Linked DNA regions of Macaca mulatta. The protein of the gene in region 2 purifies or fractionates together with the protein of the main gene of each other region. This does not show direct contact. Links are inferred from orthologs where the notes say so. Each region holds a gene or a part of one and is shown on either strand. Other genes may lie near its edges.

Region 1 (10,591 bases), on a different chromosome or scaffold from region 2:
CACCCTTATAATAAAAATGATTTGAACAAACACTCTGCATGTATCAAGCAGCTACCAGAAACTGCAGTTAGTACTAGGCATACATGCAAGATGCTTCCTTTTGTAAATGCTACGGTTTTTTCCTATTAGGGCAAGGACCATCTCTGACTCATCCTTGCATTGCTCCACAGTTCCTAGCATTGTTCCAAGTTTATGCTCACTTATATGAGTGTATGAACAAATGAACCAATGAATAACACCTTCGAAGGAGTAACAATGCCCTATCTGACATCGGTAATCTCTATCAACAACCCTGCTGCTGTCTTCCATCTACACGGAGGACCACAGTGCTAATTTTTCTAATTTTAATTCTCAGACTTCTTTTGTGTGTGTTTTTTTTGTTTTGTTTTGTTTTTTGAGGCAGAGTCTCACTCTGTCGCCAGGTTGGAGTACAGTGGCGCAATCTCAGCTCACCACAACCTCCACCTCCCAGGTTCAAGTGATTCGCCTGCCTCAGCCTCCTGAGTAGCTGGGACTACAGGTACGCACCATCACACCCAGCTAATTTTTGTATTTTTAGTAGAGACAGGGTTTCACCACGTTGGCCAGGATGGTCTCGATTTCCTGACCTTGTGATCCACCCACCTCAGCCTCCCAAAGTGCTGGGATTACAGGCATTAGCCACCGCACCCAGCTAATTCTCAGACATTTTAACTGACTCTCATCACTTTCTATCAGCCAACAAAGATTCTTTGTCTGCATATTCCAAAACCACATTATTTATTCTTTTCTCTTCCATTCACTTCCACGAAATTAAAACACATAGACAGATGCACTGAGGATTAGGAGCAATACATAGTGTCCTCAAGGAGTGTTGGCTTCCCTCTCTTCAAGTCAAGAAGAGAAGTGTGGCCATCCTTCTAAACCAATTCTGGCTGGCTGGGCACAGTGGCTCATACCTGTGATCCCAGAACTTTGGGAGGCCAAGGTGGAAGGATCACTTAGTGATCAGGAGTTCGAGACCAGCCTGGCCAACACGGTGAAACCCCATCTCTACTAAAAATACAAAAATTAGCCAGATGTGGTGGTGCACATCTGAAGGTCCAGCTACTTGGGAGGCTGAGCCTGGAGAATCGCTTAAACCCAGGATGTGGAGGTTGCAGAGCACCAAGATCGTGCCATTCCATTCCAGCCTGGGGGACAGAGCAAGACCCTGTCTCAAAAAATAACTAAATAAGCCGATTCTGGGAAAATAGGCACCAGCAACTGCTCACACTGAAAATAGGGATTGCATCCTTTTTCTACCTTGTTTTTTCAAAACTCCTGTTAGCCCTGCTTAACAGGAGTTCAGGAAAAATCAGAAATGATGAATTGTAATGAGGCTGAGCAGGAAGAGACAGAATTAAATGAATCATATATGAAAGCACTTTGAAAACTGCAAAGCCCTATAGAAATTAAAATGTAGTGGCTAAACTCAGGACACCTTAAAACAGTTCTGTATTAAAAGTGGCAGAGGAACCAGGTACTGTGGCTCACGCCTGTAGTCCCAGCACTTTGAGAGACCAAGGAGGGCAAATCAAGAGTCAGGGCGATCAGGAGTTCGAGACCAGCCTGACCAACATGGTCAAGTGCCATCTCTACTAAAAATACAAAAATTAGCCGAGCCTGGTGGTGTATGCCTGTATTCCCAGCTATTTGGGAGACTGAGGGATGAGAATGACTTGAACCCGGGAGGCAGAGGCTGCAGTGAGCCGAGATTTTGCCACTGCACTCCAGCCTGGGAGACAGAGCAAACTTGTCTCAAAAAGAAGAAAGAAAGAATTTAATAGACAGGAGGCCACCCACGCCGTGTGGGAGACAGAGTTATTACTCAAATCAATCTCTTGGAGAATTCAGGGACTAGTGTTTTCCAAAGATAGTTTGGGGAAGGGATGGAATGGCTAAGCAATGGGTTCTTGCTGCTTACTGGCTGGGGATGCAGTCATTGGGGTGTGGGAAATTGTCCTCAAGCAGGTCAATAGCTTCTGTGTGGGACCACAGAAGCGGTTAGAGCTTCAGGTGGAACCATTGGTAGTCATACATGCAAAATACCTGAAAAGATATCTCAAAATGCCAATCTTAGGGTCTACAATAGTGATGTTATCTGGAAGAGTAATTGGAAAAGTTGCGTACCTTGTGACCTCTGGGATAATGACTGGCAACGGTTTATGTCTACACCTTAGCAGAATTCAGCCTCCTTTATCCTTCTACCCTTGTGATTTCTTATTAGCTTTACAAAGGCGGTTGGCTTTTGGGGAAGGGTTATTATCATTTAAACTATAAACTAAATATCTCCCAAAGTTACACTGACTGGCCCAAGCCCAGGAATAATTAAGGGCAGCTTGAAGGCTAAAAGCAAAATAGGGGTTAGCTAGATCAGATCTCTCCCGCTGCCGTAATTTTCTCCCTGTTACAATTTTTGCAAAGGCGATTCCAAGATAATCTTTAAAGAATGGGGTGGGTTGAGGGAAGGGCCTTCCAGGCCGAGTGAACAGCAAATGCAGAGGGCTTGCCTGAGGAACAACAGGTTCAGCGCGCCAGCGGCTGGGCAGGGGGACACACCAGGACCAGTGACCTGGTGCCCAGTCCACATAACCTTGTTTGCCATTGTAAAAAGTAAAATAGAGGTTCCTCTTCAAAGACTTTCCTCCCCATCTAATTAGGAATAAATAGTAACCTCTCTTAAAAGCAAAATTTATTCAAAGACCTGTGCTAACATTCTTAAATATCTGCTAGCTATAATAAAATAAATGTAGTTTATGTTCTTAGCTCCCACAATTTAGCCTAAATTTTTTGCCCTGGCATGCTTATACTAGTCCAAGCAAGCATTAGGTCATAGCCTGTTCCTCTTCCTTATTTAAAAGTGTTTTTGTCTTTCTCCACATTCCACAAGGTACTTCTTCCTTCCTTTGTTCTCCTCTACCTTTGCCTCTTTTAAAAAGTTCCAAGTTGCTAGCCAATCCCGAGGAATACAAAATGTGAGGTCCTGTTCCAGCCAATAAAAACCAGCCACAGCAGTAAGGTAAACGCCTCAGCTTACAAATGACCCTGTCTCCTTTGTTCAGTGTACTCTCCTGGCAAAACTGCTGGTGGGCGTACCCTTTCTGCAGAAAGTAAAAATGGCCTTACTCAATAAATTAAATTTATGTTCAAGTGCTATTTCTTTATGACACCGAAAAACAAACATTTCAAACACCATGCTGAGAACTCAGTCCTTGTTTTGGGGAGGGGTGCACTTGGAAGATTCCAGCTAAGGTACAATCGTCCCTCGGTATCTGCCTGTCATTGTTTTCAGGACCCCCACAGATACCAACATAGGCCATGCTCGAGCCCCTTATATTATGTGGTGGTGCACAGTGTGTCCTTCCCATCCGCAGGTTTGGCATCTGTGGATAGGGAGTGGATACGGAGGGCGGACTATACCGCTTGAAAGGCTTCCCTGGAAGCAATATGTAGAGTGGGTAGCGGAGGAGCAAGAATGGAAGCAAGGAGGCTTGTCCAGAGCATACAGGCGAAGGATGTACGGCCAAGGGGGGAATCCCAGACGACCGCGATTCGTGACATATTTTTGTTTGCACGAAAATAAAGTTTGAAAGAAAAGTGTTGGGGGAACAAGGGATTCATTTTCCCACGGTAGTTGAAATGCAATGGCTACGCCTCAAGCCGCTGCAACATGCTGGCCTCCGTGCGGGGGCGCCCAAACAGGCGCGCCGCCGGGCCTTCCGGCCGCACCGCCGGAAGTGCTCTCCTGACCCTCCGCTGCGCAGCTCATCGCACCGCAGGAAGATGGCGTTGGAGGTTGGCGACATGGAAGATGGGCAGCTTTCCGACTCGGATTCCGACATGACGGTCGCACCCAGCGACAGGACGCTGCAATTGCCGGTGAGTGTGAAAGGAGGGTGGGTTATCGTGGCTGGGCGCGCCGAGCCTGGGCCGCGGAAAGCGCGCAGGCAGCGGTGAGGGTGAGGGGTGAGAGCTAGGAGCCCGGTCCGGACCGGGCTGCTCGGTCAGTGGCGGCAGAAATGGCGAGCAGGCGTCCCCCGGGCGGGCTCACGGAGCCCGGGCTGCAGGGGCCGGCAGCGAGGGGCGGAGGCGGCGGCAGCGGCTGGGCGTGCGAGCCCCAACCTGGCGGCTCCCTGCGAGGTCGGGCGCGCGAGCCCTGGCGCCTCCTGGAGGCTGGCTTGGCGGCTGTCTCTTGGCGGTCTCACCTCCACCTACCGCTCTTTGTTTTTTTCTAAACTTAGGGCTTCCCCACTCCAGCGCCGCTAGGTGACCATTAAGGGGCAGATTTTGCCAGATGTGTAGCATCTGGGGACATCGGCCTGAAACAGCCTGTGGTGCTCCTTTTCTCCCTGAGACAGAGACTGAGGCCCAGGAATGAAGTTTATCAGAGTTCACTTAAAGAGCTGGTTTTCCTTGTTTCCACCGAACCTAGCTTTGTCATGCGGTACCATGGCACTAGGTTTTTGTGGTAGCTTCTCTGGTTTTGTTTGTTGTTTTAAGACAGAGCCTCACTCTGTCACCCAGGCTGGAGTGTAGTGGCGCAGTCTTGGCTCACTGCAACCTCCGCCTCCCGGGTGCAAGCGATTCTCCTGCCTCAGCCTCCCGAGTAGCTGGGATTACAGGGGCCTGCGGCCACGCCCGGCTAATTTTTATATTTTTGGTAGACAAGGAGTTTCACCATGTTGGCCAGGCTGGTCTCGAACTCCTGCCTCAAGTGATCCACCCGCCTTGGGCTCCTGAAGTGCTGGAATTACAGGCGTGAGCCACCGCGCCCAGCCTAGTTTTTGTATTTTTATTAGAGACGGGGATTCTCCATGTTGGCCATGGCTGGTCTTGAACTCCTGACCTCAAGTGATCCACCTGCCTCGGCCTCCCAAAGTGCTGTGATTAGAGGCGCGAGCCACCGCGCCGGGCCCAGCTTCCCTGCTTTCTAAACGGTAATTTGTCTTGACTGCCTTAGTAGGTAGCAACCTCTTTGAGGGGGCTTTGGTGCCAGATTGCCTGTGTTCAGATCCTGGGGCCACCGATGTGTGACCTACAGCAGGTTTATTTAGCCTAACTGCTTTTTGTCTCCATCTATGGAATTGGCATGATGTTCCACTGATAGGGTTATTGCAAGGATTCTATGGAGCATACAGTGCGCGGTAATGCCTGAAAAGTGTTATCTCTGATCATTATTTGAAGATAGTGGGAGATAGATCCTCCCTACTTGCGTTTCCAGCGTAGTAGGAGTTTTAACAAATACAAATACTTGCTTTTGCATATAAATGTTTAGGAAATTAGTACCAAGATATTTTGTTTTTCAATCTCAGGTTGTTTTTACATAAATTGACCCATGACTTGGTAAATAAACTTAATGCTGTGGACTGTGGGGTTTTAAAAATATGCCCAGGCCGGGTGCGGTGGCTCACGCCCGTAATCCCAGCACTTTGGGAGGCCGAGGCAGGTGGATCACGAGGTCAGGAGATTGAGACCATCCTGGCTAACACAGTGAAACCCCGTCTCTACTAAAAATACAAAAAAATTAGCCGGGCGTGGTGGCAGGCACCTGTAGTCCCAGCTACTTGGGAGGCTGAGGCAGGAGAATGGCCTGAACCCGGGAGACAAAGCTTGCAGTGAGCCAAGATCGCACCACTGCACTCCAGCCTGGGTGACAGTGCGAGACTCCCTCTAAAAAAAAAAAAAAAAAAAAAACATGCCCAGCCTAGGCAATATGGCAGAACCCCATCTCTACAAAAAATGCAAAAAAAAAAAAAAATTAGCTGGTTATGGTGAGGGTTGCCTGTAGTCGCAGTCCCTCAGGAGGCTGAGGTAGGAGGATTGCTTGAACCTGGGAGGTTGAGGCTGCGGTGAGCCATGATTGCTCCACTGCACTCCAGCCTGGGCCACAGAACAAAACTTTGTCTCAAAAAAAAAAAGTAACAATTATTATGTATGTCATTTTAAAACATTCTGACAATAACTGAAAAGTTTGAAATCTTTTAAAGGTGACAAGAACTTTGGTAATATAGTAAAAGGATATCTTAGAACAAAGTGCTGCATTAGTTGTAAAGATAAGAATTTGTGGCTTTTAAATTGGCGAATTCCATGTGGAACTTAGAAAAGTAAGGATTTGATTGGTCTCAGACTTGTCTTTGAAGATCAGTTCCTTTTGGAATGGCGCGGTTGAATCTCTAAATTTTTAAAAATTAGGTAGGTGGAGTTTATGTGTTTTGTGAAATGGATTGTGTTTCTTTTCACTTGCAGAAAGTGCTAGGTGGCGACAGTGCTACGAGGGCCTTCCAGAACACAGCAACGACATGTGCGCCAGTATCACATTATCGAGCTGTTGAAAGCGTGGATTCAAGTGAAGAGAGTTTTTCTGATTCAGATGATGATAGCTGTCTTTGGAAACGCAAACGACAGAAATGTTTTAACCCTCCTCCCAAACCAGAGCCTTTTCAGTTTGGCCAGAGCAGTCAGAAACCACCTGTTGCTGGAGGAAAGAAGATTAACAACATATGGGGTGCTGTGCTGCAGGAACAGAATCAAGATGCAGTGGCCACTGAACTTGGTATCTTGGGAATGGAGGGCACTATTGACAGAAGCAGGCAATCCGAGACCTACAATTATTTGCTTGCTAAGAAACTTAGGAGGGAATCTCAAGAGCATACAAAAGATCTAGACAAGGAACTAGATGAATATATGCACGGTGGCAAAAAAATGGGATCAAAGGAAGAGGAAAATGGGCAAGGTCATCTCAAAAGGAAACGACCTGTCAAAGACAGGCTGGGGAACAGACCAGAAATGAACTATAAAGGTCGATATGAGATCACAGAGGAAGATTCTCAAGAGAAAGTGGCTGATGAAATTTCATTCAGGTGAACATTTGAATTACAAATAAGTACTTGACCAGATGGCTTCTATTTACAGGAAATAAATGCCAAATACTTTAATGATATGTTCCCCTCTTTTTTTTTTTTTTTGAGATTTTTTTTTCTTTTTCTTTTTCCTTTTTTCTTTTTTCTTTTTGTTTTTTTTGAGACAGCGTCTTGCTCTGTCACCCATGCTGGAGTGCAGTTAGTTGCTCACTGCAACCTCCGCCTCCTGGCTCAAGGGATTCTCCCACCTCAGCCTCCTGAATAGCTGGGACCACAGACACGCACCCCCACACCCAACTATTCTTTGTATTTTTAGTAGAGACAGGGTCTTACCATGTTGTCCAAGCTACTCTCGAACTCCAGAGCTCAAGGGATCCACCCGCCTTCGCCTCTCAAAGTGCTGGGATTACAGGCGTGAGCCAAGAGCTGGCCTAATTTATTTTTTTTTGGAGGGGAGAGGATCTCACTCTGTTGCCCAGGCTGGAGTGCAGTGCTACAATCACACCTCACTGGAGCCTAGAATTCTTGGGCTGAAGGGATTCTTCCACCTCAGCTTCCTAAGTAGCTGGGACTACAGACTCAGGCCATGATGCCTGGCTAATTTAAAAAAAAAAAAAAAAAAGATGGCCAGGCACGGTGCCTCACGCTTGTAATCCCAGCACTTTGGGAGGCCAAGGTGGGTGGATCATGAGGTCAGGAGTTTGAGACCAGCCTGGCCAAAACAGTGAAACCCCGTCTCTACTAAAAATACAAAAATTAGCTGGGCATGGTGGTGGACACCTATAATCCCAGCTACTTGGGAGGCTGAGGCAGGAGAATTGCTTGAACCTGAGAGGCAGAGGTTGCAGTGAGTCGAGATTGTGTTACTGCACTCCAGGGTAGGCAACAGAGCTAGACTCCATCTCAAAAAAAAAAAAAAAAAATTAGGAGTTTCACTATGTTGCCCAGGCTGGTGTCAAACTCTTGGGTGCAAGCAGTCCTCCCACATTGGTCTCCCAAAGTGCTGGGATTATATGCATGAGCCACTGCGCTGTCCGCAGATTTTTTTGTTTTTGTTTTTTAAGAGACGATCTTGCTCTGGTCACTCAACTGGAGTGCAGTAGCACAATCATAGCTCACTGAAGCTGAACTCCTGGGCTCAAGCAATCCTGCCTCAGCTTTCCAGATTGCTGGGATTATAGGTATGAGCCACTGTGCCTGACTTTTTTTGAGGCTTTTTCTTTAAGGAACTGGGGTAATTTGGTTATATGAATACATTTGTATTGTATTTTTCAGTTTGTTTTTTTGGTTTGTTTTTTTAGACAGTCTTGTTCTGTCACCCAGGCTGGAGTGCAGTGGTGTTATCTTGGCTCACTGCAACCTCCCCTCCCGAGTTCAAGCAATTCTCGTGTCTCAGCCACCTGGGTAACCTGGATTATAGGCATTCACCACCACATTCAAATACTTTTTTTTGTTTTGTTTTGTTTTTGTTTTTTGTGTTTTTAGTAGAGATGGGGTTTCAGTATGTTGGCCGGGCTGGTCTTGAACTCCTGGCTTCAAGTGATTTGCCTGCCTTGGCCTCCCAGAGTGCTGGGATTACAGGCATGAGCTGCACACCAGCTGTATTTTCTTAAATTTGAACAAGCCTGATAGAATAATTTTGCAGACTTTTATGAACTGTTAAACAACTCGTTGCATTTAGTGCCATAGAGCTTTTTAAATAAAGCATATCTTTTTAAATCATGAGTTGTTTTTGTTTGTTTAGTGTTTTCAAGAAATTATCCCTTTTTTCTTAACTTTGAGGTATAATTTACAGATAATAATATTCACCCATTTCTAGTGTTAATTTTTTTAGGAAACATATCAAGTTGTATAACCATCACCTTTGAAACATTTCCGTCACCCAGTAAGATCCCTTATGTCCCCATGCCAATTTACAGTTAATCCCTGTTCTCATCCCAGATAACTGCTAATCTACTTTCTATCTGTATAAATTTGCCTTTTCTGGTATTTCATATAAATGGTGTCATGTAGTATGTAATCTCGTGCTTTGCTTCTGTCACCTGATGTTATGTTTTTGTTTTTTTGTTGTGTGTGTGTGTGTGTGTGTGTGGTTTGTTTATTTGAGACAGAGTGTCACACTGTTGCCCAGGCTGGAGTGCAGTGTCATGATCTCAGCTCACTGCAACCTCCGCCTCCCGGGTTCAAGCAGTTCTTGTGCCTCAGCCTCGTGAGTAGCTGGGATTACAGGCATGTGCTACAACACCCAGCTAATTTTTATATTTCTTAGTAGAGACAGGGTTTTGACATGTTGGCCAGGCTGGTCTCAAACTGCAGACCTCAGGTCATCCGCCCACCTCGGCCTCCCAAAGTGGTGGGATTAGAGGCGTGAGCCACTGTGACTGGCCAGTGTTATGTTTTTGAGATTGATCCGTGGTGTAGCAGGAGTCAATACATTTTTATTGTGTGTGTATATATGCATATATTCATATTGATTATTCTACTTTTTGGCTATTATGAATAATGCTGTTATGAACCTTCACATCCAGATCTTTAAACATATATTTTCATATCTTTGTTTTGTTTTGTTTTAGATGGAGTCTCGCTCTGTCGCCCAGGTTGGAGTGCAGTGGCACGATCTCAGCTCACTGCAACCTCCACCTCCTGGGTTCAACCAATTCTCCTGCCTCAGCCTCCCTAGTAGCTGGGATTAGAGGCGTGTGCACCACGCCCAGCTAATTTTTTTTTTTTTTTTTTTTTTTTTTTGTATTTTAGTAGAGACAGGGTTTCACCATGTTGACCAGGCTGGTCTCAAACTTGTAACCTCAGATGATCCACCCTCTTCAGCCTCCCAAAGTGTTGGGATTGCAGGCGTGAGCCACCTCACCTGGCCATATTTTCATTTCTTTTGGGTAAATGTCCAGAAGTAGAATTGCTTGGTGTATGGTAAATTTACAATTCATGTATTTTTACCAAGTTCAGATTTTGAATTAACATTTTCATTAGCTCTAAATCACTAATGAACAGTGTCACAAATTTGAAAACAGGTATGGTTCAAGAGTAATGCAACTGGTAGGAAAACAAGTATTTACTTTCCAGGCAAACCTATCTGAACACCAGTACTTGATTTTTAAAATACTGGGGAAGTTTGGAATTTGAGTGCTGGAAAGGAACTTAGAGATGTTGTAAACCAAAACCTTCATTTTACAGATTAATATTAGACCTGGAACTAAACCCTGATCCTCATGTTCCTAGTGTCTATCTCTCTTTCCACAAAAATACACTGCCTCCCGTTGAGAAGAAACAAAGGATGCCAAGTCTGAATTCTTTTTTTTTTTTTTTTTTTTTTGAGACGGAGTTTCGCTCTTGTTGCCCGGGCTGGAGTGCAGTGGTGCAATCTCAACTCACTGCAACCTCTGCCTCAGGGTTCAAGCAGTTCTCCTGCCTCAGCCTCCCGAGTAGCTGGGATTACAGGCATGCGCCACCGCACCCAGCTAATTTTGTATTTTTTGTAGAGACAGGGTTTCTCCACGTTAGGCTGTTCTCTCAAACTCCCGACCTCAGGTGATCTGCCCACCTCAGCCTCCCAAAGTGCTGGGATTACAGGCATGAGCCATGGCACCCAGCTGAATTCTTGATCTGTTGAGAGTGTGAGCTTTGACACTGGAAGAATTACTTAGGCTACCTATGTTTCTAAAATCTCAATGACAAAATGAAAATGTACATTCTTT
Region 2 (10,428 bases):
GAGGACATTTAATCCCAGACAAATAAAAATAAGACAATGGTGTTGTGAATAAACCATCTGGAGGAACTAGTGTCTTTGATGTTAGCAGGCCAAAATAAAATCTCTTTTCATTCTAGCATTTGGGAAACCCACATATCCCCAAGGCAAGCCAGCAATCTGGGAGAGATGCCCTGCCTGGGTCCAGTGAGTCAGCATTCTTGTCCTTAATTATGAGCAGAAATCCAGGGATCACCAGACACTTAAGGAAAAATTTCATCTGAAACAAATGTAATTCAGGACACAGGAAAAAACTCAAAAGATACATTAGATTGGGTCTGCAAAATTTCTCAGAATACTAAATTGAATGACCAAAACAGAGAGTAAAAAGAACACAGAATAAATCCAGGAGGTACAATGCTTAAAAGAGTCTGAGTAAGAAAATGATCACAAGTAAATAGTTTTGGTTTGTACCTATACAATCAGCTTATACACACCTATGTAATGAATTACGATATAGCTATTAAAACATTTTTTTCTTTAAAGATGGGGTCTTGCCCTGTCACCCTGGCAGGAGCACAGTACAACTCAGTGTAGCCTTGGACCCTTGGGCTCAACTGATCCTCCAGCCTCAGCCTCCTGAGTAGCTGGCACTACAAATACGAGCCACCATGCCCAGCTATACGGCTATTTTGAAAACAGACCTACATGTGCTGAAATGGAACAATAAATAAATAATAAATGATTTTAAAAACAGCACATGAAGTACACTACTGCACACCCACAGGTTACTTCTTGAGAGATGCTCAAGAAACTGGTAACTGCCTCTGGCAAAGGGAATTAGGGGTTTAGAACAGTACAAGGTTTTTTTATTTTCACTGTGCTCTTTGGAATTTTTTTTTTTTTTTTAATGAAGGGCAAACATTCTTGAAAAACTTTTTCTTTTTTTTTTGGAGACGGAGTCTCGCTCTGTCGCCCAGGCTGGAGTGCAGTGGCCAGATCTCAGCTCACTGCAAGCTCCGCCTCCCGGGTTCACGCCATTCTCCTGCCTCAGCCTCCCGAGTAGCTGGGACTACAGGCGCCCGCCACCTCACCCGGCTAGTTTTTTTTGTATTTTTTAGTAGAGACGGGGTTTCGCCGTGTTAGCCAGGATGGTCTCGATCTCCTGACCTCGTGATCCGCCCGTCTCGGCCTCCCAAAGTGCTGGGATTACAGGCTTGAGCCACCGCGCCCGGCCTGAAAAACTTTTTCTTAAACAACCATAAAGCATGGATTTCAGGAGAGAATGTAACTAGTGTCAGCTTTATAGTATAAGAGCAGTGACGGCCGGGCGCGGTGGCTCAAGCCTGTAATCCCAGCACTTTGGGAGGCCGAGATGGGCGGATCATGAGGTCAGGAGATCGAGACCATCCTGGCTAACACGTTGAAACCCCGTCTCTACTAAAAAAAAAAAAAAATACAAAAACTAGCCGGGCGACGTGGCGGGCGCCTGCAGTCCTAGCTACTCCGGAGGCTGAGGCAGGAGAATGGTGTAAGCTCGGGAGGCGGAGCTTGCAGTGAGCTCAGATCCGGCCACTGCGCTCCAGCCTGGGCGACAGAGCCAGACTCTGTCTCAAAAAAAAAAAAGAGCAGTGACACTGGACAGAAGGTAGGAGGGAGACGAGGGAAAACGTAGGGGCAAGTGCAGGGAGGATTATGAGCTACTATTCTCAGCTCTACCCCAGTTCAGCAGCCACATTCCATCCACAGGAAGGATACTCCACAAAACAGAATCCACATGCTGTTTTCTTCATTTTATCCAGACCCATAATGATTTTCTTTATGTCACCACTTTTGCTGAAGAGTTCGTAGATTTGTTCTTCGGTTGTGTAAAAAGAAAGATTTCCAACATATAACGTACAGCTTTTCTTCAGTAATTTTTCTTGTTCTTCATTGTCACCCTAGAATTTCAAAGAGAGACAAAAGCAACTTCAGAGCCTTGCTTAAATAGTATTTCTAAGTATGGTAGAAACATTCATTAATTCTGATTTGGAAATCAAATTCTCTCATCCCAGCCTACCACAAATCCCTTGCTCAAAAAAAGGGAGATGTTCACATCCTGTGAAGCACTTATGCAAAGTCCAGACTCTTAGTAGAGACAAGGCTCAAAAGTTATACCGCATACAGCAAAGTCACCCTACGCCAGACTGCCACACAAGCGGCTTTTTTCCCTGCACACGCCATCTTCTCAGCAGTGCATCCTTTCAACCAAGGTTAAACTCTGGACCTTGACCCATGTATGACAAAGGGCCCTTTTATACTCTGTAGTGAGAAATAAGTGGATTTCCAGAGAGTCCCCTTTTAATAACCCCATAGAGACTGTTTAAAGCAACAACTCTGATGCTTTACATGCTCATGTATTTTTTCTGAATTGAGGAAAAAAATGTAGTGATCACTAAAAACAAAACAGAGCTCACTTTCCTAATGGGCTTCCAAACTGGGATGACACGATGAAGCCAGAAATAAGAATATAACTGGGCTTCATCCAACACACCTGACAAATCCCTGGATCCAAAATGGCTCATCAGGGTCGCGCACAGCGGCTCACGCCTGTAATCCCAGCACTTTGGGAGGCCGAGGCGAGCGGATCACGAGGTCAGGAGATCGAGACCATCCTGGCTAACACGGTGAAACCCCGTCTCTACTAAAAAACAAAAACAAAAACAAAAACAAAAATATTAGCCGGGCGTGGTGGCGGGGCCTGTAGTCCCAGCTCGCCAGGAGAATGGCGTGAACCCGGGAGGCGGAGCTTGCAGTGAGCCGAGATCGTGCTACTGCACTCCAGCCTGGGTGACAGAGCCAGACCCCGTCTCAAAAAAAGTGCAAATCATGCCTGGCACTTAAGCATCTAAAACCTGGACTGGCCGGGGTCAGTGGTTCACGTCTGTAATCCCAGCACTTTGGGAAGCCCAGGCTGGTGGATCGCTTGAGTCCCAGAGTTTGAGACCGGCCTGAGCAACTCAGGGAGACCCTGTCTCTACAAAAAATTAGCCGGATGTAGTGTGAGAGCCTGTGGTCCCAGCTTCTCAGGAGGCTGAGGTGGGGAGGATCACTTGGGCTCAGGAGGTTGAGGCTGCATGAGCCGTGATTGCGCCACTGCACTTCAGCCTAGGCAATAGAGCGAGATTCTGTCTCAAAAAATAAAATAAATTGACCGAATTTTTTTTTTTTTTTTTTTTTTAAGTAGGAATCTCGCTCTGTTGCCCAGGCTGGAGTGCGGTGGCGCGATCTTGGCTCACCGCAACCTCCACCTTCCGGGATCAAGCAATTCTCCTGCCTCAGCCTTCCGAGTAGCTGGGATTACAGGCGCCGCCACCACGCCCGGCTAATTTTTGTATTTTTAGTAGGGATGGGGTTTCACCATCTCGGCCAGTCTGGTCTCGATCTCCTAACCTCGTGATCCACCCGCCTCAGCCTCCCAAAGTGCTGGGATTACAGGCATGAGTCACCGTGCCCGGCCTCGACTGAATAAATTTCAGAGCTTCCCTAATTTGGCGTCAAAGTTTCCTTTTCCCTACTCTAGTAACATATTTCACACGTTCTCCACACTGACCTCTGCTATATGCGCCCCCTCATTTCCCAGTCACAAGGGGATTTCTCCCCTTTTTCTGAATTCTCACAGCCTCTCTTTTAACTCACTTCCACCTTAGATTCTTTGATAATCCACACTACAGGGGATTATGAGCTCGCAGAGTACAGAAACTGTCTTCCCTTCCCCCCAGGGTTTAGCACAAGGCTTTGGTGACAGCACTCAACAAATGTTTACTAAATAACCGGGTTAATGAGTCCCGCGCCGCCACCCCTCAACCGTATTCCATCCCTACCTTTGCTGATACTGAAAAGCCTACTTTGTATATCTGCGGCCTCCCCTTTTTCCACAAAACATACTGTGATATAGTCCGGACTAAAAATTTCTCTCTTCTGAAATCCAGCAATTCTCCGATCTTCACATCCAAACACCCTCAAAGTGCCCAGCTTGGCGGGTCCCCCTCCCCACTCCGAAGCCTCCCCGAGGGCGGAGTGAGGACTTCACTTGTGTCTCCCACGCACCGCGTACAGCTTCCCTAAGACCATCCTCCCAGAGAAGGGCACTGCTTCGCCGATTTAAAAAAGAACGTAGGCCGGGCGCGGTGGCTCACACCTGTAATCCCAGCACTTTGGGAGGCCGAGATGGGCGGATCACGAGGTCAGGAGATGGAGACCATCCTGGCTAACACAGTGAAACCCCGTCTCTACTAAGAAATACAGAAAAACTAGCCGGGCGAGGTGGTGGGCGCCTGTAGTCCCAGCTACTCGGGAGGCTGAGGCAGGAGAATGGCATAAACCCGGGAGGCGGAGCTTGCAGTGAGCTGAGACCCGGCCACTGCACTCCAGCCTGGGCTACAGAGCGAGACTCCGTCTCAAAAAAAAAAAAAATAAATAAAATAAATAAAAAAAATAAAAAAGAACGTAAAAAGCCCCGAATCTGCATCAAGAAGGCGCCTCTGCACACTCTGGGAGAGAGAAGGGCACCCCGCCCTTGTTACGCAGCCATCTGCGAGGTACAACCTGGAAACGGGAGCCGCCACTACCATCAGCGCTCAGGCCTCTCGGCACCGGCTCGGGTGCAGGGAGCGGCTGGAGGGAACAGGAAAGCGAGCCTCAAATGCCCTGTCTTCCAGAGCCAGCGGCTTCAGTGATGTCCAAGCGCCCCCCCAGCACCCGCTCCCTGCCTCCCCAGCCGGCACCGGGGCCCCACTTGGCGTTTGGGGATTGCAGCAGAACGGGAGGCGACACAATGAGACAAGAGCAAACCGTTTCTCAGCGTTCTGGCCCAGGGCCTTCCCCTCTCGCGGCCCGGCCTCCCTCACCCGGAAGTGCTGGTCCCGGTACTGGCTCAGCTCCACGTAGGAGTCGCTGCGCAGCGCCTTCAGGAGGCCACCCGACATAGCGCAGAGAAGCGGACGAGGACGCGGCGATTCCCGGCACGAGGTGGCGTCTGCCGTGGCGGAAGCGGAAACGCGCGGAAGCGCGCATCTCATTGGACCCAATCCGAGGGCGGCAGTGTCGTCATCAAGCTGCGCGGGCGCAGATGACGTCCGGGTCGGGCGCCGCCGGGCGGAAGACTAGGGCGGCGAGGTCGGATTCCCGGGCGCTTGGGGAAGATGGTGCTTCGGCGGCTGCTGGCGGCCCTGCTGCACAGCCCGCAGCTGGTGGAACGCCTGTCCGAGTCTCGGCCTATCCGACGTGCGGCGCAGCTCACGGCCTTCGCTCTGCTGCAGGCCCAGCTGCGGGGCCAGGACGCGGCCCGCCGCCTGCAGGACCTCGCGGCTGGCCCCGCAGGCTCCCTGTGCCGCCGCGCTGGGCGATTCAGAGACACCTTCACCCAGGAGCTACGCCGCGGCCTCCGTGGCCGTTCGGGGCCACCACCAGGTAGCCAGAGGGGCCCTGGCGCAAACATTTAAGCCTGGGCTGTGCGGGGCCGAGGCCTTTACTTTGCCTTCCGGGCTCTACACTGGCCTCGACGTGGAGGGGTCGTTCCGGGCACTGCGCGCGGCTTCGAACCCCGACTCGGATTGTTGGCCTGCAGACATCCCACGCAGAAGAGCCTAGGCCAGACCGCAGGCTCCGCTGAAGTCCTTTGATTGGACAAGACACCGTGTGGAGAAAGACCCCGAAGCCTAACAGAGATGAAGATAGGCTGGGTCCAGACACCGCACCCGCGGAGAGCCACGGACCGAAGCCAGAGAGCCTTTCCTCTGCAGATGGAACTGACACTCTTGACAGATGCTGCTGAATCTGCACTGGTGTAGCAGGACACTTAATTCCAGGGACGATGTGAATGAAAAGACAACCCTACAACTGCCAAATTCTTTTGATTAAAAAAATGTATGAGCTGGTTAATAGGCATGAGTGTGATACTTCTCAGGCAAGATATATTGAGAATACCGGGGACTGTAGGCCTATGGCAATAATAAACACGTATTTTATGAAATGAGTATTTTGTGCTGGGACTTGCTCATTGCACTCTGCGTGTTATTTCGCTTACTCCTTACAACCACATCCGCATGAGCAAGCAGATTACTTTTTGGATTTTTTTGTAGAGATGGGGTAGTCTCGAACTCTTGGGTCCGAGTGATCGTCCTGCCTCAGCCTCCCAAAATGCTGGGATTAGAGGCAAGAGCCACTCCGATGGAAACAGAGGCTGCTGCTTAAGTTGCCCAAAGTCTTGCAGAGTGGGATGTGAGCAGAGGCATTTGATTCCAGGGCCTAAGTCCTTAACACAGCTCTGCAAGATTTACCCTGATACTTTCCTTCCTTCCCCAACCCCCCATCATCAGGCATTAAGACTACTGCCTAGGAGCAGGCGTGGTGGCAGTTGTGTCTAATCCAAGCCACTGCAGAGGAAGGAGGATCGCATGAGCCTGAGATGAGACCAGCCTGGGCAGCATAGCGAGAACCTGTCTCAAAAATAAAAAAAGACTGCTGCCTGCCATGGAATGAGCTACCTGGACTCATCCCTCATTTTAGAGGGTCAGGCATACGAAACTAAGACTATGGTCCAGCAAGTTAGTGGACCCATGATTAGGAAATCCACTGTATATACAAATGTCTTGTCATTTGAAGCTCCTAGCTAAATTTCTGATTTATTTATTTATTATTTTGAGACAGGGCCTCACTCTTGCCCAGGCTGGAGTGCAGTGGCATGATACTAGCTGTCACTGCAACCTCGACCTATTGGGCCAAGTGATCGAGCTTCCTCCCTGGGTCTCCCAAGTAGCTGGGATTACAGGCCCATGACACTATGCGCAGCTAATTAAAAACAGGTTTTTTTGTTTTTGTTTTTGAGACAGAGTCTTACTTTGTCACCAGGCTGGAGTGCAGTGGCGTGATCTCGGCTCACTGCAACGTCCACCTCCCGGGTTCAAGTGATTCCCCTGCCTCATCCTCCCGAGCAGCTGGGATTACAGATGTGCGCCACCATGCCTGGCTAGTTTTTTGTATTTTAGTAGAAATGGAGTTTCACCATGTTGGTCAGGATGGTCTTGATCTCCTGACCTTGTGATCTGCCTGCCTCAGCCTCCCAAAGTGCTGGGATTACAGGCATGAGCCACCGTGCCCAGCCACAATTTTGTTTTGTTTTGTGTTTTATGGTTGAAATGGCATTGCATTTTGTTTCCCAGGCTGGTCCTGAACTCCTGGTCTCAAGCAGTTCTCCTGCTTCTGCCTCCCAAAGTGCTGGGATTACTGGTGTGAGCCACCACACCCAGATCTGATCATTTCTAATTAGGCAACACAGATAATCATGCAATCTAGAAGCTTGAAGCCATCGGAAAAATTGAGGCTGGTAACCAGACACTAGCTGAGCATGGTGTGTTCCCTGCTCTCTGGGGCAGGATGGGAGGGCTTGAGACCCACAGTTCTTCTAAGGAGGGAGAACATCTGGCTCCCTAATCTGGGAGAATGACTTTTTTTTTTTCCCCCCAAGACCGTCTCGCTGTGTCTCCCAGGCGGGAGTGAGTGGCGCGATCTCGGCTCACTGCAACCTCCGCCTCCTGGGTTCAAGCCATTCTCCTGCCTCAGCCTCCTGAGCAGCTGGGACCACAGGCGCCGCCACCACACCCAGCTAATTTTTGTATTTTTAGTAGAGACAGGGTTTCACCATGTTGGCCAGGCTGGTCTCAACTCCTGACCTCGAGATCTGCCCGCCTTGGCCTCTCAAAGTACTGGGATTACAGGTGTGAGCCACCACGCCCAGTCAGGAGAATGACTCTTAAGGACAAGGTGCAGAAATGGCTGGAGAGTTTCCCACCACCTCTCAGGAACAGGAGTAAAAGAAAGTAGGGAGAAAATCTCCAGGTGCAATTATATATTTCAAACATTACTTGTTTGCAAACACTGAGACAGCAGGCATCAGAGGGCCATGAAGTACGACACAACTCCCACTTCCATGCTTAAAGAGCTTTGTGAGAGCTGTGCCTGTCGAGGACGGGGGACGTGTACTGTGGATTCCAGGAATGACACGATGTTAGCTGGCAGACACCTCAAAGATCCTCTGATCCCAACAGACTGGGAAGTGGGGTGGGAGAGTGGAAGGGGCTTTCTCAAGATCACACAGCGAGGGGGTGACAGACCAAGGGGCTAGAAGTTGGGTCCCCTGGATCTGGGCCACCTGTTCTCTATACTTCATCACACTGACTTCCACATTATTTGGATAGGCAGATCGGTCTCAGGAAGCCAGAGGTTGTCATGACAGCAAGGGCAAGGCATCATGGGAAGTTTGGGAGAGGTCGCTGGGGAATGTCACTGGCAGTTCATTCTTTTTCCCAACCAGGTACTATTACATGTTTCAAACATCACAGTGGCTGGAAGCAGTAGGGCAGGAACCGACAGGTGTCATCACTTACACCTGGTTCTTTGGGGACCTTGACATCAGGACTGACAGGTCAGATCTTTGGTCTCAGGGAGAGGGGTGCCAGCTCACCCAGAAGGCAGAACAGCCGTGCCCAGGAGAGGCAGCAGTGGGAGTCGTGAAGGAGAACCTGGGCCCTGTCCCCGCGTCCCAGCCCAGCTACCCAAGTAGAAGGTGGGGCAGCAACTTCTATGGCTGAATCGTGGGCGGTGGGTGCCCTGTCATATTGTCAGGTTTCTTCCCCCAGCTCCACGATGTGAAGACTGAGGTGGTCCCTCCAAGCCCCACTCAGCAAGGAGGACAGGGCTGGTGGATCCTCCAGGGTTAGATGGGGAAATACAAGTGTTTCATTCTTGAAGGGGAAGCTGCACTTCTCCACGGCACCCCTGGTGGTGCCAGGGGTCACCACAAAGACGCGGCAGAGCCATGGCCCACCAGCCACTTGGCAGGCTGGTTGTCTGGTAAAGCTTTTCAGGGCTTGGCACAGGACCCAGTCCTCAGTCCCACCCATGTCCACCACCTCCACTGGTGCCCCCAGGCCTGGGAGGTGGAGGAGGTGCCGGGGGGGCATGTAGGTGTGAGTGAAGAGGAGTGTGTAGTGGGTGGGTGCGCTTGGGAGCACAGGGGCATGGACCACCTGCTCCAGGTACTCCAGGCCAGGCACCAGGCCCCCCTGATGCAGGCAGCCGAAGAAGAAGGCACCGAGGGCATTGAAGAGGACCACGGTGCCCTTCCAAGGCACAGGTTGGGTCTGCGGACTACAAAGCAGGACTAGGGGGACCAGGAGGGGAATCAGGAACCGAGCCTCCTGGTGGCTAAAGGCAGACAGCAGGGCTAGGGGCATGAAGTAAAGGAGAAGGAGATAGGACCTGGGGCTGGACAGCAGGCTCCAGGCACCCAGTGCCCTCAGGAGGCCCATTTGTAAAGAGGCCTGGAGGCCAGCTTGCAGCTGTTGCCACGCGGCCTGCAGGGCCTGGGCATGCAGTACCCCAAAGAGCAGGAAGCCATTGACTGCCAGGTGAGTGAGCCGCACATGCGTGCCATGCCTCGCCAGGTTTTGGGGATTCAGGTTGTAGTGCAAGAAGTTGACAGGTGTAAGGACAAGGGTCCTGGATGTAGCGGAGCTGGAGAAATACCAGCTGTCCATGGCCACAAACACCACTGCTGTGAGGGCCGCCCCAGGGAGCAGCACCAGGGCCTCCCGGGTCAGGGACTTCAAGCCAGGGTTTGTGGCTCCACGAGTGCCCCAGAGGTAGAGAGGGACCACAGCAAAGGCCAGAAAGGTGGGCCGGTTGAAGAAGCCAGCAGTCACGATGCCTCCAAGAAGCCAGCTGTGCCACCATGGACCCGGCACAGGCTCCTTGCATGTAGGGCCCCACATTACATGGGGGGATACCAGCACCAGCAGCCACGCGAAGAGGAGTCCCTCAATGGTGTTGGAGAAGGTCCTTGTGTAGAAGACCAGGGTGACGTAGGAACCAGAGAGCAGGGCCAGGGCATTCCAGCGATCCGCCCCCAACAGTGGGGCCAGGTGGTACACCACCCCGTCCAGAGCGAAGGAAAGGGCAGCGAGGAGGAGTCGCGGCCCCACCAGCAGCGCATAGCTACTCACCAGGCCAGGCCACGGCCCCAGCTCTCCCCAGAGCCTGAGCAGCCAGAAGGTAGAGCCGGAGGTCAGCAGGGGGAAGACCACTGTGCGGCAGGGGCTGCTGGGGTAAAACTCCCAGGGCCGGGTGGCCTGCACGCCCAGGATGTCCTCTGCAGAGAAGGAGAGGCAGAGCTGAGCCAGTACCAAGCTCAGGGATGTAGTGGGCAAAATTCTAGGGTGGCACCCAGCATTTCCACCCCTTGGTGTGTGTGCCCTGCATAATCCCTGGGACTGTGCCCTGGATGGATTTTTCCCTCCCTCCCTGCCTTCCCTCCCTCTCTCCCTCCTTCCTTCCCTTCCCTTCTTTCCCTTCCCATTCCTTCCTTTCCCATCCTTCCCTTCCTTCCCTTCCCGTTCCTTCCCGTTCTTCCTG

The links.
Region 1: the proteins of NCBP2 (region 2) and PHAX purify together in Homo sapiens (affinity purification with mass spectrometry; 5 studies listed by BioGRID and IntAct, with this or other methods). This does not show direct contact. The link is inferred for Macaca mulatta from reciprocal best matches to the Homo sapiens genes NCBP2 and PHAX.

What each region holds. Positions count from the first base shown.
Region 1 is NC_133411.1:135,551,692-135,562,282, forward strand, and holds the start of PHAX (phosphorylated adapter RNA export protein), read left to right. Parts: upstream 1-3,779; 5' UTR 3,780-3,804; coding exon 3,805-3,900; intron 3,901-6,267; coding exon 6,268-6,881; intron 6,882-10,591. UniProt on the Homo sapiens protein: A phosphoprotein adapter involved in the XPO1-mediated U snRNA export from the nucleus.
Region 2 is NC_133407.1:2,487,354-2,497,781, forward strand, and holds the start of NCBP2 (nuclear cap-binding protein subunit 2), read right to left. Parts: upstream 4,992-10,428; 5' UTR 4,944-4,991; coding exon 4,866-4,943; exon of another isoform or gene 3,840-4,865; intron 2,660-3,839; exon of another isoform or gene 2,510-2,659; intron 1,917-2,509; coding exon 1,735-1,916; exon of another isoform or gene 1,696-1,734; intron 1-1,695. Other genes in the region: protein NCBP2AS2, read left to right, coding at 5,160-5,459; PIGZ (GPI alpha-1,2-mannosyltransferase 4), read right to left, coding at 8,637-10,165. UniProt on the Homo sapiens protein: Component of the cap-binding complex (CBC), which binds co-transcriptionally to the 5' cap of pre-mRNAs and is involved in various processes such as pre-mRNA splicing, translation regulation, nonsense-mediated mRNA decay, RNA-mediated gene silencing (RNAi) by microRNAs (miRNAs) and mRNA export.